Linked DNA regions of Drosophila melanogaster. The protein of the gene in region 4 interacts with the protein of the main gene of each other region in a biochemical or structural test. Each region holds a gene or a part of one and is shown on either strand. Other genes may lie near its edges. The genes, in order: RpL11, AGO2, sau and Fmr1.

Region 1 (3,726 bases), on a different chromosome or scaffold from region 4:
CGCCCATGCATCCATCCGGTGGTCGTGGAGCTCGTGGTGGCGCCCGTGGTGGACGAGGTGGTTTCCGAGTGACCCGTGACCGTGAGATCTTGGGTAAAACCATTAAGATTAGTGGAGGACCTTATAAGGGCGCCGTGGGAATTGTGAAGGATGCCACCGAGAGCACGGCTCGTGTGGAACTGCATACCTCATGCCAGACGATTTCGGTAGACCGGAATCACATTGCCATTGTGGGAGTTACCGGTAAAGAGGGCAGTGTCTCCACATATGGACGCACCCCAGCTCGCACTCCCGGCTACGGTGCCCAGACTCCCAGTTATACCGCTGCCGGATCGAAAACTCCGTTGGTGGGAAGCCAGACGCCCAACTGGGATACGGATACTCGTACTCCTTATGGTACAATGACACCATCGCACGATGGCAGCATGACACCACGTCATGGCGCTTGGGATCCCACGGCAAACACAACGCCGGCCAGGAACAACGATTTCGATTACTCCCTTGAGGAGCCCAGTCCCAGCCCTGGATACAATCCAAGTAAGTACTTTGGTTGCGCATTGTTCTTGACATATTGTAACTCCATCGAATCTTAAAGGTACCCCTGGCTATCAAATGACTTCCCAGTTTGCCCCGCAAACTCCTGGCACTCTGTATGGATCGGACAGAAGCTACAGTCCATTCAATCCCAGCCCCAGTCCTGCTCCGTCGCCGTATCCCGTTGGTTACATGAACACTCCGTCGCCATCGACTTATTCACCGAATACTCCTGGTGGCATACCGCAGTCGCCGTACAATCCGCAGACCCCTGGAGCCAGTCTGGACTCGTCGATGGGCGACTGGTGTACCACAGACATTGAAGTTCGGATTCACACGCACGACGACACCGATCTCGTTGGGCAAACGGGCATCATTCGCACCGTTTCGAACGGCGTCTGCTCCGTATTCCTGCGCCAGGAGGATCGCAGTGTGTCCATCGTTAGTGAGCACTTGGCGCCAGTGCTACCATGCAATGGCGACGAATTCAAGATCATCTACGGCGATGACCGCGAGTCCGTGGGCAGAGTGCTGTCCAAGGATGGCGATGTGTTCGTCTGCAGGATTAACGAGGAAATCAAGCTGCTACCGATTAACTTCCTCTGCAAGATGAAGTCCATCGACTAAGCTCTACATACGAATTGATGCTACACACTTTAAAGTTGACGGACTTCTTCAATGGAATACACATTATTGCTAAAATTAATAATTCAAATAAACTATTATGGACGTTTACTTCGAGTTTTTCAATTGATATCACTGGAAGTGCCTTTTTTTATTAATTTTGGCGCATTACTTAAACGATGTGTTTAATGCGAAATGAAGTTAATTAAGCGGGCCGTATTTCAAATAAATTTTTATTCTAAAAGGATTTTTCGTTACATGCGAATAACGCCAAGTAAACAAATATCAAATCAAGCTACCTCAAAGTAATTTAAACATCCGTGCAATCAAATAATCACAATTATCGGCCATATTTGCTGTTCAGCATTTAAAATAATTGAATAAACCAATTTCAGTGGTTAACATTTTAAGGAATACCCCATTTATTTACCGTTAGCCCTGTTAACCGTTAGTGATGGAACGACGTGCGCACAACAGCACGATAGTTGGATAACAGCACGACAACAGCACGTGTCGTGCGTTTTTTAGGTCCATTTGTGCGCCTCAGCGCGGCCACACTATCCTTTCCTTCTTTTCTTACAAGTTTCCGGTGAGTGCTCCGCGTTTTTTTTGCCGATATTTTTATTTAACCACTTTTAAATCGTTTATTTGTAGCGAGGGATACCTGTGAGCAGCTTTCACTCCTACATACCACAATGGCGGTAGGTTCAACCACAATTGCTGCACGCATCGACATATTTTCAACAATATTTTTGTCATGCAAAATTTGTACGCTGTGTGTTTACGATGGCAGCACAAGAAGTGACGAGTTTCCTTGGTTGTTTTTCAGGCGGTTACCAAGAAGATTAAGCGCGATCCCGCGAAGAACCCGATGAGGGATCTGCACATCCGCAAACTCTGCCTGAACATCTGCGTGGGCGAGTCCGGTGACAGGCTGACCCGTGCCGCCAAGGTAAGATATACCTAGATGCAGCATAACCATGATCACTGGCTAACTAGAGAATGCCAACAGGTGCTGGAGCAGCTGACTGGTCAGCAGCCAGTGTTCTCCAAGGCCCGCTACACGGTCCGTTCGTTCGGTATTCGCCGTAACGAGAAGATCGCTGTCCACTGCACGGTGCGCGGCGCCAAGGCTGAGGAGATTCTGGAGCGTGGCCTGAAGGTGCGCGAGTACGAGCTGCGTCGGGAGAACTTCTCCTCCACCGGCAACTTCGGTTTCGGCATCCAGGAACACATCGATCTGGGCATCAAGTACGATCCCTCCATCGGTATCTATGGTCTGGACTTCTACGTCGTCCTCGGCCGCCCTGGTAAGCATCTGTCTCCTACGTTTCGAATCGTGCACTTAATTAGGTATCTCTGCCAATCGAGGCTCTGATGCTCAGTGAATGTGCGCATAGCAAAGAAGATGTGCTTAGTTGGACTTGCTACATTCCATGCGTGGCCACACGGTACAATTTCGACAGCGTCTCATGGATTGCCAAAACGTTGATTACTTATCTGCTACTCTGGTTTATCTTGCAGGCTACAATGTGAACCACAGGAAGCGCAAGTCCGGCACTGTCGGCTTCCAGCACCGCCTCACCAAGGAGGATGCCATGAAGTGGTTCCAGCAGAAATACGATGGTATCATCTTGAACACCAAGAAGTAGAGGAGCTCTATCAGTAACCATGTTTTTTAAGAAGAATTCTACAATAAACCTTGGCTTGTGTCAACACGTAAAACCCGTAGTTCTGATCAACATTATTTATCGACAATAGTTTCAACTAAGTGGATCGTGATTGAAGTTATTTGGCAAGAAATCATTGCTAGGATTTCATATCCGGTTTTAGGTTCTATGGAGACCAACGTCTTGTTAATGGATACAACTGCAGCATATTGTAGTGTCTGGACGAAAACATTTGGATATCAGCTAGAGGCATTCAAGATTTTAAAGTTTACTGTTCAATTGATCAATTTTAAAGCAATTTCTTGTACTATTATAGAAATCAATTGTAAATATCAAAATGCCAAAATGAAAAAACTTTTGTAACAAAAGGAACAAATTCTTGATTTTGCTACAAGTTGTAGATTTAATTGCTAAACTGAGTTCCATGATTTATTTTATGAAATCCTAAAGCCAAATCATTCAGTTCAGTGTAGGTGTACATATGGCCAAAACAATTCCATCTTGGGCATGATGGGTGACCTCTTCCCCTACTGTTGTAATCGAACCCAATACTCAAAGTCACGCCTTAGGTGAACTTGAAAATTCGTGGGGGCGAACAAATCGGATGCGGCAGCCAAAGTTGAAGGTGGCCATAAGTTTCAATAAATCGATGCCAACACCAAGCGGGTTGCCATGGCAATTGAAAGTCCTTTGCAGGGCCAAACATGTCAGGAAAATCGCCGTAAACAAAATAAAATTGATGCCCGTCCGCCAGTAAAATGGGAATGTTGCACAATTTGGCCGATTTGATAAAGATTAAAAAGGATAAGATGACGATTCTGGTGCTGGGACTGAACAACAGCGGAAAGTCCTCGATAATTAATCATTTCAAAAAGTCCAGCGAACAGACATCCATTGT
Region 2 (7,599 bases), on a different chromosome or scaffold from region 4:
GCAATTATTTTGTTTTTTATGTTTACAATTTGTGTTTTACGTTTTAGTGCAATTTTTTGGCATACATACATATTTATACAGATATTTTTGTATTCTTTTCGCAGCGTTCTAAATGAGTCATTCTAGTTTTTATTAGTTGAATTTATAAACACAAAATTACTTAACGGAAATTTCAAGCGTAACCCGTTGATTTCCTATCAACTCGATAATATGTATCTATAAAATATAATTTAGCTATTTCTACGTATGTCTGTGCATGTGTGTATAAATCAAGCGGGCGAAGTTGTGCAATTGTTAGAAAATTTTTAAAAGAAAGATATTTAGTAAAAATACGAAAATCAGAAATCGATGTTGAAAAACAAAACGCTCGTGCAATGACAAACAAAATTTTATTAATAAAGCGTTAAACAAACAAATTAAAGACAACATGAAATATACATTATGATATATTTATATATACAAGTATGAATAATGTACGACTATTTACTATTTTTTGGCTATAGCATTTTAAACGCATATATTGTATGTTTAACGTTGAAAATGGAAAAAACAAACAAAACAAGAAAATACATCAAAAAAAATTGTAAAACTTTTATGATTGGTTGCTGTAATTTGGCAAAAGTAAAAGTGCAATTCCAAATAAAATTCAAACAACCATACAAACAGCAGGAATCTGGGTCTTTTATTTATTTATTATCTATGGAAAAACAATACTTTTTCTGGAATGTAAAACTATTTTTCACTTAAAGGCGGAAAAATAAAAATAATGCTTTCTAGCAGTGGTGATTAAATTTATTGATTCTTACTGATGTCTTCTTCCAAAATAAAATTTAAAAAAAAAAACTAGTAAATTAAAATTTTTTTCCTATTTTAAACTTCCCCGATAATCAGATGCCAGTTACTCAACTATTGGAAATGCGAACGCAAATTAGATATTGGTGAATAAAATAAGAAAAAAAATTAAAATTGTTAAAAATTGTAAGCGTGGCTTTTCGGCGGTTTGTGGGAGTAATAGTAGTTTGGCAGATCAATAGAAATTTACAAGACTAATCAAAATATGAAAAATATCACATTTTGCATAACTGTGGGCGTGGCAATTTAAAGTTTTTTGGCAGATCGATGGAAATTTACAAGACTAATAAAAATATGAAAAATGTCAAAACATTTTGAAAATGTGCGTGGGAAGTTTTGGGGGCTTTCCGTAATCTCAATTTTCTAGCTTCTTATTCATCCTGAGATCTCGACGTTCGTACGGACTGACAGATGGACGGAAAGACGGACATGGCTAGATCGACTCGGCTATTGGTCCTTATATATATAATATATATAATATATTATAATATATATAATTTATTAGGTCGAAATCGGTTTCTTTTGCCGGATACATGCTTTTCAACGAATATAGCATACATTTGACTCAACAAGCAACATGTATACAAAACATGTATAAAAATATACAAATATAAATAGAGTCCCCACTTGAATGGCCCGCCTAGTCCGTATGTTCCTATCAATAATCGATAACAGAAAACACTTTAGCTGTGCCGCTCAATAACTTATCGCCCACCCCTAAGGCCTCCCATCACTAAAAAAGACTGTGACGCATTAAAAAATCGTCTATTAAAAGTCGTCAGTTAACTCGAAACCCTCAAAAGTAAATCATGGGAAAAAAAGATAGTGAGTTGTCCCACCTGCAGGACCATACAGCTATTCAAATATATGCACTTTCCAATTACCACCCCAGAGAACAAGAAAGGAGGACAGGATAGCGCTGCAGCACCACAGCCCCAGCAGCAGCAAAAGCAACAACAACAACGGCAGCAACAACCACAGCAGCTGCAACAACCACAGCAGCTGCAACAACCACAGCAGCTGCAACAACCACAGCAGCAGCAACAACAACAACCGCATCAGCAACAACAACAAAGTAAGTGCAAAGTGCGATATATCGGCGTAGGCAAAAAATAGATGTATGCATGCATGTACATACATATGTTTTGTACATATGGATTTACCATTTGCAATCAAATGCTCCATAAACTTTCGAAATGCCTGGGAATTCCCGAATTCGTGGCAGCCATGATGAAATTCAACTGCCATGGTTGTATAGAACCTATGTATGTGTGTATTATACTTAAAGGTGAATTCTACTGTATATAACAGTTATTGAATTTCCCCTTAACATAACTAAATTAAAATTCCTTTATATTTAAAAAAATGAATTTTGCTATGAAATGTAACAGTTGTGCTTTAGGCAGAAGCATCAAACAATTAAGAATTAAAATCTGCTCAAATCTGTAAATCTTAATCTTAATTTATACCAGATCCGACATTTTAACTCAATTATAAACTTATTAAAAATCTGAAAGATGAAGCGAAATTGAACATTTGACATCAATATATCTTTACATTTAAGGTTATGTACATACAGTTTGTCAAGAAACTGTTTACACACTGTGAAATAAGTTGAATTTTTGACTTTAAAGCTAAAAATAAAGGGTTTTTTGCTTAATTAAACGCAATTTTTTTATAAAATATAATTAAACAATATTTATTTTACTTATAAATAAAAAACAAATTAAAAATATTAAATATACAAGAAAATAAACAACAAATTCCAGGTTTACACACTTTTGAGACTGTCAAGAAACTCTTTACACATTTTGTTTTCCTACTTTGTTTTGTTCTTTTTCTTAGAACGAACTCGATTTTTCCGTTATTTTTGGCTTCGCATTGCTTTTTACAACGCTTCTATTGAAATTTGTTGACTTTGCTTGTGAAATTTTGCTGATCAAACGTGCTTAAAGCGAATTATTAAATTTAATAAAATGCCTGGAAAGAGATTAACTTTTGAAGTTACCCAATTAATAAACTATAACCACCAGTTGGGAAAATCTTTTCCAGAATTAGTATAAATGTTTCCTGTATCCCGTAAGACCGTCTACAATGTTTTAAAAGGCTCGGAAAAAGAGGGCAGGCTTGAACCTAAGAGTGGTGGTGGACGGAAAATTAAAATTAAAAAGCGTGTAGACCGCTTTATTATGCGAATAGTGATTGCGAACCCCCGAATCTCGGTCAGATCACTTGCTCTGGATATCAGGCAAGAATGCCACCTAACTGTGTCACACGAAACTGTGCGCCAAGTCATCCTACGCCATAGGTACTCTTCAAGATTTGCAAGGAAAAACCCTTTGCTATCAGATGCCAATATGGAAAAGCGTCATTAATTCGCTGTGAGCATGATGGATCATGCGGAAGAGTACTGGGATGACGTCATATTTTGTGACGAAACAAAAATGATGCTCTTTTATAACGACGGGCCAAGCAGAGTATGGCGCAAACCGTTGAGTGCGCTAGAAAAACAAAATATCATTCCAACGATAAAATTTGGAAAAATGTCACTGATGATGTGGGGCTGTATCACCAGCCGTGGAGTGGGAAAACTAGCCTTAATTGAGAGCACAATAAATGCCGTGCAATATCTAGAAATGTTAAAAAACAAATTTGAAGGCCAGTGTAGAAAAAATTAGTCTGGTTAGCAACAACAAGCCAAATTTTAAGTTTTACCAGGACATGATCAGAAACATAAAGAGTGCAATGTACGCACCTGGCGCCTTAATAACTGTGGTAAAGTGATCGATACGCCCCCTCAGAGTCCTGATCTGAACCCCATTGAAAATTTGTGGACCTACTTAAAGAAGAAGGTGGCAAAAAGGGACCTAAAACACAACAACAGCTTATGACTGTAATAGTCGAAGAGTGTGAAAAGATCCCGTTTGAATATGACCTGCAAAAACTTGTCCAATCCATGAAAAAAAGGCTTCAACTTGTAGCTAAAGCCAATGGGGAACATACTACATACCAAAACTTTTAAAATTTTAATAAAATAATTAAAAAATTTAGGATTAAACTTCGATTTAGTGTTTTGTGTAAAGAGTTTCTTGACAGTCTCAAAAGTGTGTAAACTTGGAATTTGTTGTTTATTTTCTTGTATATTTAATATTTTTAATTTGTTTTTTGATTTATAAGTAAAATTAATATTGTTTAATTATATTTTATAAAAAAATTGCGTTTAATTAAGCAAAAAACCCTTTATTTTTAGCTTTAAAATCAAAAATTCAACTTATTTCACAGTGTGTAAACAGTTTCTTGACAAACTGTATGTATTTTAAAGTGATACAAATTATTTTCGCGTTAGCAAATTCAAATCAGCCAAGTGAATACTTTTCGAAGAGTTTGCTTGCAGTTTTTTCGAAACCTAACACCTATTGTAATAAACATTCTTTGTCGATTTCTAAATCTAGGTTCGAGACAACAGCCATCCACAAGCTCAGGCGGATCCCGTGCATCTGGGTTCCAGCAAGGAGGCCAACAGCAAAAATCCCAAGACGCAGAAGGATGGACTGCACAGAAAAAACAAGGCAAACAGCAGGTACAAGGGTGGACTAAACAAGGTCAACAAGGTGGCCATCAGCAAGGACGACAAGGGCAAGACGGTGGCTACCAACAGCGTCCGCCTGGACAACAACAAGGTGGCCATCAGCAAGGACGACAAGGGCAAGAAGGTGGCTACCAACAGCGTCCGCCTGGACAACAACAAGGTGGCCATCAGCAAGGACGACAAGGGCAAGAAGGTGGCTACCAACAGCGTCCGTCTGGACAACAACAAGGTGGCCATCAGCAAGGACGACAAGGGCAAGAAGGTGGCTACCAACAGCGTCCGCCTGGACAACAACAAGGTGGCCATCAGCAAGGACGACAAGGGCAAGAAGGTGGCTACCAACAGCGTCCGTCTGGACAACAACAAGGTGGCCATCAGCAAGGACGACAAGGGCAAGAAGGTGGCTACCAACAGCGTCCGCCTGGACAACAACAAGGTGGCCATCAGCAAGGACGACAAGGGCAAGAAGGTGGCTACCAACAGCGTCCGCCTGGACAACAACAAGGTGGCCATGAGCAAGGACGACAAGGGCAAGAAGGTGGCTACCAACAGCGTCCGTCTGGACAACAACAAGGTGGCCATCAGCAAGGACGACAAGGGCAAGAAGGTGGCTACCAACAGCGTCCGTCTGGACAACAACAAGGTGGCCATCAGCAAGGACGACAAGGGCAAGAAGGTGGCTACCAACAGCGTCCGTCTGGACAACAACAAGGTGGCCATCAGCAAGGACGACAAGGGCAAGAAGGTGGCTACCAACAGCGTCCGCCTGGACAACAACCAAACCAAACCCAGAGCCAAGGCCAATACCAATCTCGTGGACCACCTCAGCAACAGCAGGCTGCCCCATTACCATTACCGCCTCAGCCAGCCGGGAGCATTAAGCGCGGAACAATCGGCAAACCCGGGCAAGTAGGCATCAACTATCTGGACCTTGACCTGTCCAAAATGCCTTCTGTGGCATACCACTATGACGTGAAGATCATGCCAGAGCGTCCCAAAAAGTTTTACAGACAGGCATTTGAACAATTTCGGGTGGACCAATTGGGCGGAGCAGTTCTTGCCTATGATGGCAAAGCCTCTTGCTACTCGGTGGATAAGCTGCCGTTAAATAGCCAAAATCCGGAAGTGACTGTAAGTTGCAAGAAATTGTCTACTAAGTTATGAACAACTGGGAGTAATAACATTTTTAAATGTATACAGTGGCAGTTAAATTTAATTTAATCTATACGATATTTTAGTTGTTTTTATTTCTTATTATTTTAGGTGACAGATCGTAATGGTCGTACTTTGCGCTACACGATCGAAATCAAGGAGACTGGTGACTCGACCATTGACCTTAAATCGTTAACTACGTAAATATAAATTATGTTTTTTATGGATACTCCTATTGAACGCGCTCCTCTGCAGTTATATGAATGACCGAATTTTCGACAAGCCCATGCGAGCAATGCAGTGCGTGGAGGTTGTTTTGGCTTCACCCTGCCACAACAAAGCCATCCGTGTCGGTCGTTCCTTCTTTAAGATGTCCGATCCTAATAATCGTCACGAACTGGATGATGGATACGAGGCCCTGGTCGGTCTGTATCAGGCATTTATGCTGGGCGATAGGCCATTTTTAAATGTAGATATATCGCACAAATCCTTTCCGATTTCAATGCCGATGATCGAATATTTGGAGCGATTTAGCTTAAAGGCTAAAATCAACAATACAACGAATTTAGATTATTCGCGACGCTTCCTTGAGCCATTCCTCAGAGGCATTAATGTGGTTTACACGCCTCCTCAGTCGTTTCAAAGCGCTCCAAGGGTATACCGTGTAAATGGTCTTTCTCGTGCCCCGGCCAGCAGTGAGACCTTCGAACACGATGGGAAGAAGGTCACCATTGCGTCCTACTTCCACAGTCGCAACTACCCATTGAAGTTTCCCCAACTCCATTGTCTGAACGTTGGATCTTCAATCAAGAGTATTCTGCTGCCCATCGAGCTATGCAGCATCGAGGAAGGTCAGGCCCTAAACGTGAGTTCACTAAATTCCTTTATATCTATATCTTGGTGTTCAATACCGTAAGCTATATTGTCATTACATATACCTATAAACATATGTATTTCACAGCGCAAGGATGGAGCAACTCAGGTGGCCAATATGATAAAGTACGCAGCCACATCGACGAACGTGCGAAAGCGCAAGATTATGAACTTGCTGCAATACTTCCAGCACAACCTGGATCCGACCATCAGTCGCTTTGGCATCCGCATTGCCAACGATTTTATTGTGGTAAGCACCCGCGTCCTAAGCCCACCTCAGGTTGAATATCATAGTAAGAGGTTTACTATGGTGAAGAACGGGTCGTGGCGCATGGATGGCATGAAGTTTCTGGAGCCCAAGCCCAAGGCGCACAAGTGTGCGGTCTTGTATTGCGATCCGAGGAGTGGTCGCAAAATGAACTATACCCAGCTGAATGACTTCGGGAACCTAATAATATCCCAAGGCAAGGCAGTCAACATAAGCTTGGATTCTGATGTGACATACAGACCGTTCACGGATGACGAACGCAGCCTAGACACTATTTTCGCGGATCTGAAGCGCAGCCAGCACGATCTGGCAATTGTGATTATTCCTCAGTTTAGAATTTCTTACGATACAATTAAGCAGAAGGCCGAGCTGCAGCATGGAATTTTGACGCAATGCATTAAGCAGTTCACCGTGGAACGAAAGTGTAATAATCAGACGATTGGAAATATTCTACTTAAGATCAACTCCAAGCTGAACGGCATCAACCACAAGATCAAGGATGATCCTCGTCTGCCGATGATGAAGAACACCATGTACATTGGAGCCGATGTGACCCATCCCTCTCCCGATCAGCGCGAGATTCCCAGTGTGGTCGGAGTAGCAGCCTCACACGATCCCTACGGAGCCAGTTATAACATGCAATATCGTTTGCAGCGAGGGGCTCTGGAGGAGATTGAGGACATGTTCTCGATTACTTTGGAGCACTTGCGCGTGTATAAAGAGTACCGTAACGCCTATCCTGATCATATCATCTACTACCGAGATGGCGTGAGCGACGGCCAGTTTCCGAAAATCAAAAACGAGGAACTGAGGTGTATTAAACAAGCCTGTGACAAGGTAAGTTTTTGAATTTCCTCACTATTTA
Region 3 (7,282 bases), on a different chromosome or scaffold from region 4:
CATATGTGGGTCAGATTGTGGCAGCCGTGTTTAAGTTCGACGAGAAGTGGTATCGCGCAGAAATCGTGGACATTATGCCTAACCAGTACAATCCAAAGGAGCAGGTGATCGATCTCTACTTCGTGGACTATGGAGATAGCGAATATATTTCGCCAGCTGATATCTGCGAGCTGCGCACTGATTTCCTCACGCTCAGGTAAGCAGTTCGACTGATTGGATAGACATAAATTTATATTTCACTATTTTAGGTTCCAAGCCGTTGAATGCTTCTTGGCCAATGTAAAATCTACCATCCAGACGGAGCCTATTACGTGGCCAAAGTCTTCAATCGCAAAGTTCGAAGAGCTGACAGAGGGTATGATTTCAGCAACAGTTGCTAGATATATTTTTGACTAAACACCGAACATTTGTAGTGGCACATTGGAGAAAGCTGATTGCTCGAGTGGTGACCTACAAGGAGCGTCCACGGGCAACCACCGCTGTAAGTGCTGCTGCCAAGGAGGGAACCCCGCTGCCCGGAGTGGAACTATTCGATCCAGCCGACAACTCTGAACTAAATATTGCCGATCTGATGATCACCCAGGGCTTTGCTCTGCCCCTGGACGATTCGTATCCAGTGCGGTCACGCTCCTCGACGCCCTCAAGTAACAGCGACTCCACCATTGAGGAGTTGTGCGTCAGCAATCCAGTGACTCCGCTTACGCCCCACTCACCTATGTCGATGTCCATTGATGTTGACAGCATTACGCAGGCGGAGAACGAGCACCTCGCCCAGCAGCTGCAGCATTTGCAGCATAAACTGAACGGAAACGACATAAAAAACATTAATCCGGCTAAACTGACGGCTACAGACCTCGAAAACGGGAATAACAATAATGCCAGCACCACAAATGGTGCTAGCGCGCATTAGGATTTCACATTGTTACTAATTATCCTCGCCTAATTGTTTATAAGATGAAGGCTGGACGAGCAGCTCACTACTTGACGTGTACATAAAAGTATAGCTCTTAAGGAACTTATTGTATAGGTACGAAAGAAAACTGTTTAATTTATCGCCGTGACTGATCGACATATCCTAGATCCTAAAAGCTGACGATGGAACGGCACAGATCCTTAATTGTTTATAGCAACCTTTGCCATGTTACTTATTGTTAGCAAGAACAAGAAAAACATTTGTACATCAACAAAAAATACACAAAAAAGATCACAAACTTATCAAAAGAAATGCATTTTATAAGAATATCAAGCTTAAGTCTATTTTGGTGGCCTGTTTCAGAAATCTGTATTAGAGAAGTATTTCAATATTCTTTGAAAATAAGATTTTCTAGATGACGTTAAGGCATAATTGAAAATGAATATAGTTTCTTCAAATGAAAAGGGCTACAAATATTAAAAGTCGCTTAAAGTATATTAAAAAACCCACCGGGGGGCAGAATTGCAGTCTTGTTTGGGGGATTTACCCCACGCTTAGATTAGGATGTCGTTGGTGGTGTTTATAGCTATGGGGGGCAGGTATATGGCGCGGATCTGACTGCGCAGGCGTACGATTTCCATGTCGTCCCTTTCCATTTCTCTGATGAGCTGGGAGAACTGGACTAATCCCTCGCGGTTTCCAGGAAACCCATGACCCTTAATGACCTCCAGTTGGAGTTGCATCACCAATGGAAAAACCTGCAATGTATTATGTTAAACTATTTGGTTATTTGTTTTGATTTGCTTGGTATTTACGTGCTGCATCATGAGAATCATCTCTTTTCCAGCGGAAGCCTTTGCCTCTGAGAGTTTCTTCGAGTTTTCCGGCTGATTTACACAGCGTATTATGTCCATAAGAATTTGCTTGGCAGTATCACTGTTGAAATTGGTCAAGTAGGACATTATAAACGTTTTAACGGCAGTGTTTGTGACGAATTTAGGCAAAATGCAACAAATTGTAGTAGGTTTTATTTTGTGTTTCCGTTAGAGATGAGTCATACAGCGATTACAACTATCGGACAAACTATCGGTTCGGATTCATAACATTACCAAACCCTTAGTATGGACAAGGAACTGTAATATCATTCAAACAAAAACTTTACGATTAAATAAATTAAGCTGAATTACAAAAAATTAAGAGTAAAAGTTAAATTAATTTCGTTTTAACAGCACCTCTAGAAGCAAAACGTTATCCAACACTTAAGGTCTGGAAAATTGCCAGTACTGAAAAGTGCGGAAATCATGTCACGTCGGAACGTCGACAAAAGACACAAATAATAGGAAAAAGCTTATTTCGCGCAGGCACTCGCATATTCCCAGTAAATGCAAGGCCAATGCAAATGCACCATTAGTACGGGCCACCAAATTGTAAATCAAACCGTCGAGTTCCCAGCGCAAAAACGCCGAGCAAAGCAGCAACAACGAAACGCAGTTTAGGGCCTGCATTTTTGCGATAGTGTGAAAAGTGCGTGTGTGCAAAAGAATACAAAATAAAGGGGGCGCAAAAGAGTCAGTGAAAACAACAACACACAAAAACACAAGACACAAGTACACAGAGAAAAACGCAAACACCCGCACTCGCGCAAACAGACACACACACACACTGTGAAACTCCCAACGTCGAGTCAGCAAATTGTGCCACACACACAAAACGAGGAAAGAGGAAGAAGAGCAGCAGCAGAAAAACATAGGTGCTCCGCTCGCATCCCACATCTCCAAAACTCCATCGATCCGAACTTCCCGACTACCCAACCCAACTCTCCGGAATGAATCGCTCCGACGGATTGGTGCGTCGCTCGGTGAAACCCCGCGAAAACGGTGGGGCGGAGGGTGGGTTGAATGCCAACACGCCGGACGACAACCAGGATGCACTGGACAACCTAAAGGACCAGGAGGACAATATCGACGATGGCGACTCCAAGGAAACACGACTAACGCTCATGGAGGAGGTTCTGCTGCTGGGACTCAAGGACAAGGAGGTGGGTGTGCTCCTTATCTCTTATCTGCTTGGGATGCACTAATTAATTGGTTTCTTTCGCAACATAAGTGCTTCTTCTTCACCTGTTAACCGACGTCTCTCTCTCTCTGTCGCTCTCACGATTTCTCTCTTTCGCAACCTCTTGCTTGGCCCCAAGTGCAACGCAGTCCATCTTCCAGCAGGGGCGTAGTGAAAATTGGATACAGGGGGGTAACTTATCACTTCAGTTATGGGGGCAACAATGTTTATCTGTCCTACAGATAAACATTTTATGCCATGTCTTAGCCACTTCTCTTAGCTTTTCCAGTTTGTTAAGCAATGCACTATGAAATCTTTTGACCAGCCTGCTGACTAATGCGCAATCAGTGAGACTGCCAACACCATTTTCTTAACCACTTTTGTTTTTGCATTAATTAATAGTGTGCTCCATCTGTTAAGGTCTAATCAGCCGTTCATTCTAATCTATAGAACCCATTACTTGCCCTTTGTAATACTTTGATGTACTTCCCAAATAAGTGATGATATATTTATATATAGTATATAATAGGTTTATTTTATGTGTTACACTATCGCGCAATTGCTTCCAGTGCCAAATCAAAAAGATTCTTAGAATTGTTGCCAACGTTCTTAGTTGTTGGAAAGATAGCGCTCTAATACTTCTTCGGTTGGCAGTTGTGGCTATAAATACATACATATCTCTTCGAGAACTTCACTCCGCGCAGCACGGAGAACGGTTTCGTCAAACGAGTTTTCCAATAAGTGGTTAATTTGCATAGGTTTGTAATATTCATAAATCTACGTATAGCGCGGGATGATGTCCGTAAATGCGAACCATCATCCATACGTGACCCATTATGGCGAACAGGCAGATTCGCATTTCTCCATTGAATTCGGTTTTTATATTTCACTTGGCACACAGCTTTATCGCTCAATTGCTGTTCGCTTGTACCACATAGGAATGCACACATGTGCCTTTGTGGCTGGCACCACGTCTATTTGTTTTCATCATTTTGCCCGCAGTGTATTTGTGTGACCACCCACACCTCCATCCCTGCCACCTCCTCTCCCTTCGCATAAGAGGGATACGAGCTGGAAACAGTGGGACGTGTTGCCCGCTTTTGTTTTACATTCCCCTTCCGAGCGCTCTTATCGCGAAGATTTTGTCCATTTGGTTAATTGTTTGAGGAAGTACATACTATCAAGTGCTGCTCTCCTCTGCCTAGCTCTCATCCGTTTCGGGCTTTTCTTATGTCAGTACGTCACTCATTTTCGAAATTATACAAAGTACTTGGCTTCTACCCACACCATCCATTAGGAAAATTTCAATATCTCGAACTGCCGAACTGATAAGCGACGTGTTCTTTGCAAATGATTCACTTTTATACCTTTCGTTCGGAACGATTCCTTATCAATCATCTGAGCGATTGTTATATAAATTATTTTAAAATCGTGAAATGGCATTGAAACGTGGTTGAGGTATCTATCTATACCTTCCAATTATCATAGCTTTTCAAGCGTTAATAACAAGAGTAATTTTTGTAATTGATTTTTTATGTGGTTATAACATAACTCTTCTTGTTCGTTTTTTCATTTATACTAGCTAGATAAGCATTGTATTTTTTAAATTGACAGTTCATACACTTCTGTGGGCAAGGCCTAAACAAACTCAAGTGTTTAATGTTTTAACAACTGAATACTTTCGTCTGGGAGCTTTACGACCCCGGCAACAGGGTAATTATTCATTTCTTTTACGCCCAACACAAGTGAAAAGGCCAAACCATAGACTTGCTCAAATATATTTCAAAACCTTGAAACATGAGACAGTAACCATTTGTTAATGAAGTTTGTACTTACATTTATGTTAGATAGAATTTAATAAAATTTTAAAAAATAAACAAGTAACGCATTCACACATTCTTATTTTTAGATGCCCATCCAGGCCAATCAAATAGCTTGAATCTAATAGCATTTTTAATTACTTTCAGGGCTACACATCTTTCTGGAACGACTGCATATCAAGCGGCTTGCGCGGATGCATTCTCATAGAGCTTGGACTGCGAGGTCGCGTGATGATCGAGAAATCTGGAATGCGGCGACGTGGTCTATGTACAAGGTATGTATAGAAATCTAGTTTCCACATCCTTTCAGAAGCATGCTAACTTCAATTCGCCAACAGGAAATTAATACTGAAATCGGATCAGCAGACGGGAGACGTTCTACTCGATGAGGCACTTAAACACATTAAGGAAACAGATCCCCCGGAGACGGTGCAGAGCTGGATTGAATATCTTAGTGGTGTGTATTTAGGCGCCTGCCATTTCGCCAAGTATGTTTTGTATAACCTATTGTTGTGGCAGGTGAAACCTGGAATCCGTTGAAATTGCGCTACCAACTGAAAAATGTACGCGAACGTCTGGCCAAAAATCTGGTGGAGAAGGGTGTGCTCACGACGGAAAAGCAAAATTTTCTACTCTTCGATATGACGACACATCCGCTGAGCGACAATGTTGTCAAATGTCGCCTGGTGAAGAAGGTGCGTAACTAGACTTGGATATATTCAAGAATTCTAAAACTGAATCCGAAATGTATGACTTCAGATCCAAGATTCTGTGCTCTCCAAGTGGGTCAACGATCCACAGCGCATGGACAAGCGGATGCTGGCGCTTATCTTCCTGGCGCACGCCAGCGATGTGATCGAGAACGCCTTCGCGCCGCTGAATGATGACGACTATGAGGTGGCCATGAAGCGGGTGCGGGAGCTGCTGGATCTCGACTTCGAAGCCGAGTCGGCCAAGCCGAATGCGAACGAAATTCTGTGGGCGGTGTTCATGGCGTTCACGAAATAGACGATCCTCTGATCCTCTACGCTCCTCTCAATAGCACACACACACACACAACACACACCCCAACACAGAAATACAGACCCACATCTGGAATACATTTTGCTGCTTTTGTTTTAGAAACTTTGCTGTGAGTGGAACCGAATCGGGCGATAGGATTTTCTTAAATGGCAACCACCCCAAATATCTGTTTCAGTAATATATATTTTTTAAGCGAGACTATAAAGCAGCCATAATTCCTATTTAAATATACATATGTTTATCAACACTTCAATAATACCAATCAAACGCTCCATTGTCCTTTAATTTTTTCCTGTTCTGTTGAGCATAATAATACATGCCAATGTTTTGCAATCATAATCAGTAAGTTGTGTTCCACGACACATAGAGTTTAGTTGATGATTTCTCTGGCAATGCAAATCAAAATGTATGATGGAAAATTTAAAGCTGCAGCATTGTTTTTGTAATTATATATCTAGCACTAATTGTAAGCGCCAACAAGAAAACTTTGATAAAGTCTGGGCAAGCTGCGTGCGATTGTCTATTGTCAAATATCCTATATATATTTTATCAAAACTTTTCAATTCTATTTTTGATTGTCAAGTATTTTCGAGCCCTTTCCATGTATTCGATTGCGCGTAGAAAATCAGTTCAAAACGTTTCTCGAGCTCCGCAATTTTACCTTAGTACGTTCGACCTTAAGTATGCACCCACCCACATGAACAGACAGACATGCAGACAATTTGACACGGAGCGACATTCAATCTAGGCAATGTTTTAATTTAAATTGTTATTGAATTTCGGGAACATTGAAGTTGAAAAACCTTTTCTAACTGCTAAAAGAAAAATAAAGAACGACAAGAAGTGGACAGCAAGAAAAGAAAAATTATGTAAATGTAAACTGTGCACGTCAAATAATACTAATTCTTAGATATTTAAAGGCCTAATAAAATACAAATATAAAATATATAACTGACGCAAAATTGAAAGTTTATTGCAATTTCGGTTGTACCCCTCCATAAATCAGAGGAAAAATATAAAACATTTAATGAAAAATGGGTGATGAGTTTTAATAAAAGGGGGAAAGCAAAAGTGGACAATCGTCGGAGGAGAAATAGGATTCTTTCCGGTGTGACGACCAATCCGATTTAACTTATCTACTTGAAAGCATAGCCCAATTTTTGATTCGCTTTTTAATACAGTTTTTATTCCGTTTTTCATTCTCAATAAATGTGTTTTTGTTTTGCAGTGTTTGCATTTCTTTCGATAGTTGAAGGGGCAATATACCATATAAGTCGAGTAATTCTCACACGAAACATTTAGGTTATAATATAATAATCTTTCAATGACATAAAGTATGATAAAAAGCAGGGCGCAGCGCACAAATTATTGCAAAAATACATTAGGCCAAAAAGGATGTGAACAAAGAAGTGCTCTTATACTATCCGTTAAATCAACTAGCAGTTTTCAACTGTGGAAAATTTGCAAGTAA
Region 4 (5,004 bases):
AATTAATATAAATGAAATTTTATTACCCCAATTTTTCATATTTAACACGAGGCAGTTATTAGTTATGATATGTTTATTCTGCTATTTAAAGGTATTAAAATATACACTGTTTTTGCACTTGGACTTAGAAATAATTAGCAAGGGAATGATACTACCTGGTTTTTTAGAAGGATGATCTCATCTTTTTTAACCATTAAACAAAAGAAAAAATAAATTTAACTTTCGTATTAAGGGTATTGTTGCTCAGAATTTGCTCCAGCAATTTGAGAATGACTAAACTTATTGAATTTTATTTCTATTAATATTCACACTTATGCGCGAATTCTTTATGTTACTATAATTACAAATGCAGTGAACACCTTTTATAAGGAATGTATTATCTTATTTATTATTGAAAAATTTACTTGCCCGAATATTCCTCGCAGTGTATTTTACGTCGAGAGGAAGTGACGTACCTGTCACGATCGAGATTGTCACATTTTGGCAAATAAATTTCACTTGATCCCTCCACGCGGTTAAAATTAGAATTTAAATTAATTTAGTGCCCGAAGTGACCAATTGTTGCACTGCAATTGCACCCGAACCGAATCGTTTCAAATCCGATCGCGAAACGAACATAATGCTAATTGAGCGGGACAAATTCTGGGGTGCGAGCGAGATGGCTAGATGCGAGAGGAGGAGGGGCTGTCGTCGCTGAACTTTCGCTCTTTTGTTGGCCATGTCGACGTCATTAAAGTGCAGTTAATGTGCCAAAAGGTAGAACAAAAGTCAATGTCAAACGGCAGCTGCTCTCATTTTCCTCGGCAGTGGAAAAGCGGTTGAAATAGGGGTGGTTAACTGGTGGGCAAGGGCGCGGGAAAATCAAATCAGAAACTGCATTTCCGCAACAAATCGCCGCTTGACAGTAATTACCGTCAACACGAGCGGTAATTTATGACTATCGAATTGCGAATCTTGATACCCTGTATGGAAAATTGTTATGGGATTTTAACGGAATCTGCCTGCAAATAGGCTGGGAAATGCGAAAATGGCGAGTAGAGGGTATTGCCTTTGCACAGAGACACAGAATTTCCAACTATTCACAGGCATATAAAGGATTTAATGGTTCCCATTAACTGACTGGCCATGAATTTTTATAATTTGTTGGCCCATTTTCACCACACAAATGCCTAAATGGCATGCGATTTAAATACAGGCGAGCTTTTAGACTTGCCCACTTATTAATCAAGAGTAAAGTTCACAAATATAATTCATAAATCTTATTAAGTAGTTCCAAGCAAATATGTGGTTTCATCCTAAATGGAGTACTCCGTCAGATTTCTGCTGTCCGATCCGCTGAAAATTGATGGAAATTGGATTACAAATAGACCGCACTGCACCTTTATCGGCCACTCATAATCAAATGCGTTTCATGAATGGAAGGGCAAAATAAGAAAAAAAAAATAGTAAAAAGCAAATTCAACAAGCGTGTTGACAAAAAGCGCCAGCGACGTCACGCGATTTGGGGGCAATCAAAGGGGCAAATAAAACACCGCATGTGGCAAATTGCGCCCACTGTTGACCCCAGCAGTCGTTGCAATTACATAGACAATTACATTAACATTAAGGCGTAGTGGTCAGCAGTTCTGCAAATTAAAATCGAATCGAATCAATTGAAAAGCCACCAAACATGCGAATCAATCTGCTGATGGGCTAGCAATTCAATTACGTTGTTAGCAGACAGCAAACTAAGTGAGCAGTCAATAGTGTTCGGTTCGTCGACTTCATTTAAATTTTAAATGATCTTATCAGCTTTTTGAATTTCGAATCGTAACCGCCTAGCGCGCTTAAAATACAACCCTGTTTATTGTGAACCCACAACTTATAGTCACTCTGGCAAGGCCCGGTGAGCTGTCACTTAGCAGCCTTGCCACTTTACTGTCAGATCATTTTTCTCTCGCTTTCAAACAAGCCCTGTGTTATAGAGCACAAATCATTTATCAAAAATTTCGTATCTTATTTTCACAAATTTATCGCTTGGGCCAAACACGCCCGAAATCTAGCCAAAACCATCCGAAGTGGCCAGTAACGCGCGCCGATTGTAAACGGGTGGCAACTCCAGTAGAACGTTGCCGAGCTGCGAAAGTGTGCAAAAGCAAAACGAAGAGAACGCAGCGCAGCCGAAAAAAATTGAAGCAGCACTGCACGCGATATATTTTGTATTTTCAAAGGTTAAAGCCGCATTCACAGGCATCCGCCGAGGGCAAACGAAGTGCAAAAGTGCCGGCCAGCAGTAAGTTTTCAAAAATTTGCAGTCTCTTGTGTATTACAGCCGCAAAAAGTGTTGAAAAAATTTTGCAAGAACCGAAAAAAACCAAAAAATTTTGCACATCGTCGGCGGCTGCGACGTCGACGACAGCAGCGACGCCGCCTCTCTGCCGGCAGCGGCAGCAAAAGGGAGCAGCTGAAAGAGGAAAACCGATAAAATACAAAAAGAAAAGTAGAGAACGAGAACGAGAAAAACGGCGAGCGGCTACGCAACGCTGATGTTTCTTCTCTTTGAGAAAAGCGAAAATCGAAAGCAAGTGTGGAAATTATGTGTAAATTCGATATGTAAATTCGGCATGTGCCGTTCGTAGTGTGCGTACAAATTCTTATTGGAAAAGCGTGTTCATCGGTGTGAACGAACGAACGAAGCATTTCGGCGGCGAGAGAGAGAGAAAAAGAGAGCGAGAGCGCACACGCTTGGTGGTGGTCATGTGTGTGTGAGGCGGCGGGCTCACACACACAAAGGGAGAGAGACAAAGAAGAAGAGGAAGCACTGCGCTGCTGCGCTGCCGGCAAAGCCGACGTCGCTGCCGGCTTCGCCGCCAGCTGCATTTAGTGTTTAGCTAGGAATTATCTGGCCCCCAAAATAACTTCAAAATTTTCTTCAACTATTTTTTTTATTAGTGTGTCAATATATAGTCTCCCTCTCCAGATACAAAAATTCAAAAATACCAAAAACAAAACCATTCCATATTATTATTGATTACAGGCAACATTTGAAGCAGCAGCCGCCAAGCAAAAGACTGATTTGAGTACAAGGAACTAGAAGCAGGAACGCGAGGTTTCTGCCACTGCACACTGAATTGTGAGCATACCCACCCATACCTAGCTATATCTATAGCCCTAATATCTCCATTCTTCCCCCTCAGGAGCCCCAGATAACGCGGCAAACTGCAGTCGACGGGGAAAAGTCGGGAGTTGAAGGCTGGGCAGCATCAGCATCAGCAGCAGGAGGGACAGGGACGGACGGCGAAGAACCACCAGAACCAGAACCAAAACAAAGCGGATAAACCAGGAGGCACTACGTCTGGCGATATGGAAGATCTCCTCGTGGAAGTTCGGCTCGACAATGGCGCCTACTACAAGGTGAGTTGATTCAATTGGTGGAATAAAAATGTTGGTAAGGGGGTGACAAAAAAAAAGAAGGAAAAACAGAGGAGCAAGGAGTTGGGGCAGCAGCTGCCTCAGTTTCTAATTTCGTGGATTTTAGCTTTATTTCTATTAATAAACAGCAACATTTTGAGTGGAGTCTCGACATCATCGCCACCACCACCACCACTACCACTACCACTACTACACTAATACCAGCACCATCGCCAATCTGCATACACCAACGCACTCACGCACACTGCGTTGTGGGGGTGCCGACGTCGACGTCGATGTCGATGTCGACGCGGACCGCGCCGCCCACTGCGCTGCCCACTGACGTCGTCGTGCATTCGGTTTTGTTGTTTTGATGATTTCCCTTTCTTGTCGTTGCAATTTATAAAGATAAGATCCGATTAAACCATCTTATATCGCGGTTAAGTGATTTTCGCGGATAGATTACAGGTATACGAGGTTGTTAGATCTCGAATCATTAGTCTTATGAACGAAGTTCAGTCTTAAATCCCATTCATAATGCTAGCTTTTGATGTGTTTTATTGTTCACTGTTTAAACAAATTCAGCAAAAATGTATGCTTATAGGCTTAAATTTTCCAATGATAATATAGACATTTTGGAAACCAGATAACAGTGCACTTAAGAATATTCTTATACTTTCAATTATTGTTCTTAGTACTTATCCCCATCATTAGCTAACCTATTCTGGAAACCTTCTGGATATGTATAGTAAGGTAGTGAATACTTTGCATAGCGTTGCCTTTGATTTCAGTGCTTGGAATCAAAACAAGGGCAATGCACATAAACACACTCGACTAGAGCGACTTCCCTGATGCTGATGATTCAGCTGTCGGCTGTTTGCATTTCGGATAAGGTTCTACGACTACTCGCTTATCGGAGATATACGGTTTCCCTCGCTAATGCCATTGCAATTCTCGATTTCACAATGGGACGGGATTGGGGGGACTATCGTAAAAATATATTTTATATACTTATGCATATACACACATCCGAATGGAGGTATATCATAGGCAATGGCCACATTAATGACACACATTTTTCTCTCTCTACTCCTATGCCTTCCGATGCTGGCCCTGTCAATGCTCTTGTATTTCATCCGTTTGCTGCCTGCCTGCCGCCAACAAAAAACTACAACTGCAAACTAAAAACTACGACGACGACGACAACAACAACAACAGGGCCAGGTGACAGCTGTCGCCGATGATGGCATCTTTGTGGATGTGGACGGGTAAGTTTGTTTAAACAAACAAATCTGCGAACAGGGCAAACAACAACAACTAGAGCGTATTTTCTAACTAATTTGCAACGATTAATACAATCAGAGCTGCAGCAGGAGCAGCAACAACCACCGACGCGACTTCTTGGCATCCGAATTAGAAATTAGAGATTCTGGGCACGCATCATTTGTGTCGTCCGCCATCCGCCAAACCACTTCCCGCCGAATCCCCTACTGCGGACTCACTAATTTGGCGCAATTTGTTAAACGCCAGACGCCGCTGCAGCAGTTTCTGTTGCTATTAGTTGATAAAAAAGAAAAAAAAAATGAGCCAAATCAAATAAAACTGCTGACTGAC

What was found.
Region 1: the proteins of Fmr1 (region 4) and RpL11 form a complex in vitro, tested with the Drosophila melanogaster proteins (one study listed by BioGRID).
Region 2: the proteins of Fmr1 (region 4) and AGO2 form a complex in vitro, tested with the Drosophila melanogaster proteins (one study listed by BioGRID).
Region 3: the proteins of Fmr1 (region 4) and sau form a complex in vitro, tested with the Drosophila melanogaster proteins (one study listed by BioGRID).

What each region holds. Positions count from the first base shown.
Region 1 is NT_033778.4:19,440,631-19,444,356, forward strand, and holds RpL11 (ribosomal protein L11), read left to right. Parts: upstream 1-1,711; 5' UTR 1,712-1,747; intron 1,748-1,812; 5' UTR 1,813-1,853; coding exon 1,854-1,859; intron 1,860-1,987; coding exon 1,988-2,110; intron 2,111-2,170; coding exon 2,171-2,468; intron 2,469-2,496; exon of another isoform or gene 2,497-2,626; intron 2,627-2,682; coding exon 2,683-2,810; 3' UTR 2,811-3,195; downstream 3,196-3,726. Other genes in the region: Spt5, read left to right, coding at 1-537, 596-1,161; Arl6 (ADP ribosylation factor-like 6), read left to right, coding at 3,587-3,726. UniProt on the Drosophila melanogaster protein: Component of the ribosome, a large ribonucleoprotein complex responsible for the synthesis of proteins in the cell.
Region 2 is NT_037436.4:15,552,546-15,560,144, forward strand, and holds the start of AGO2 (argonaute 2), read left to right. Parts: upstream 1-1,567; 5' UTR 1,568-1,661; coding exon of another isoform or gene 1,662-1,677; 5' UTR 1,678-1,719; coding exon 1,720-1,927; intron 1,928-4,277; exon of another isoform or gene 4,278-4,304; coding exon 4,305-5,572; intron 5,573-5,704; coding exon 5,705-5,793; intron 5,794-5,848; coding exon 5,849-6,458; intron 6,459-6,554; coding exon 6,555-7,571; intron 7,572-7,599. UniProt on the Drosophila melanogaster protein: Essential for RNA interference (RNAi); double-stranded RNA induces potent and specific gene silencing.
Region 3 is NT_033779.5:2,224,331-2,231,612, forward strand, and holds sau (sauron), read left to right. Parts: upstream 1-2,011; 5' UTR 2,012-2,738; coding exon 2,739-2,951; exon of another isoform or gene 2,952-2,975; intron 2,976-3,033; exon of another isoform or gene 3,034-3,274; intron 3,275-4,935; coding exon 4,936-5,063; intron 5,064-5,126; coding exon 5,127-5,245; intron 5,246-5,307; coding exon 5,308-5,483; intron 5,484-5,547; coding exon 5,548-5,796; 3' UTR 5,797-6,769; downstream 6,770-7,282. Other genes in the region: papi, read left to right, coding at 1-196, 249-355, 414-910; CG15387 (uncharacterized protein), read right to left, coding at 1,468-1,671, 1,729-1,875. UniProt on the Drosophila melanogaster protein: Phosphatidylinositol-4-phosphate-binding protein that links Golgi membranes to the cytoskeleton and may participate in the tensile force required for vesicle budding from the Golgi.
Region 4 is NT_033777.3:10,107,084-10,112,087, reverse strand, and holds the start of Fmr1 (fragile X messenger ribonucleoprotein 1), read left to right. Parts: upstream 1-1,966; 5' UTR 1,967-2,272; intron 2,273-2,479; exon of another isoform or gene 2,480-2,564; intron 2,565-2,864; exon of another isoform or gene 2,865-3,016; 5' UTR 3,017-3,112; intron 3,113-3,176; 5' UTR 3,177-3,198; coding exon 3,199-3,393; intron 3,394-3,745; exon of another isoform or gene 3,746-3,858; intron 3,859-4,608; coding exon 4,609-4,658; intron 4,659-5,004. UniProt on the Drosophila melanogaster protein: Polyribosome-associated RNA-binding protein that plays a role in neuronal development and synaptic plasticity through the regulation of protein synthesis of mRNAs.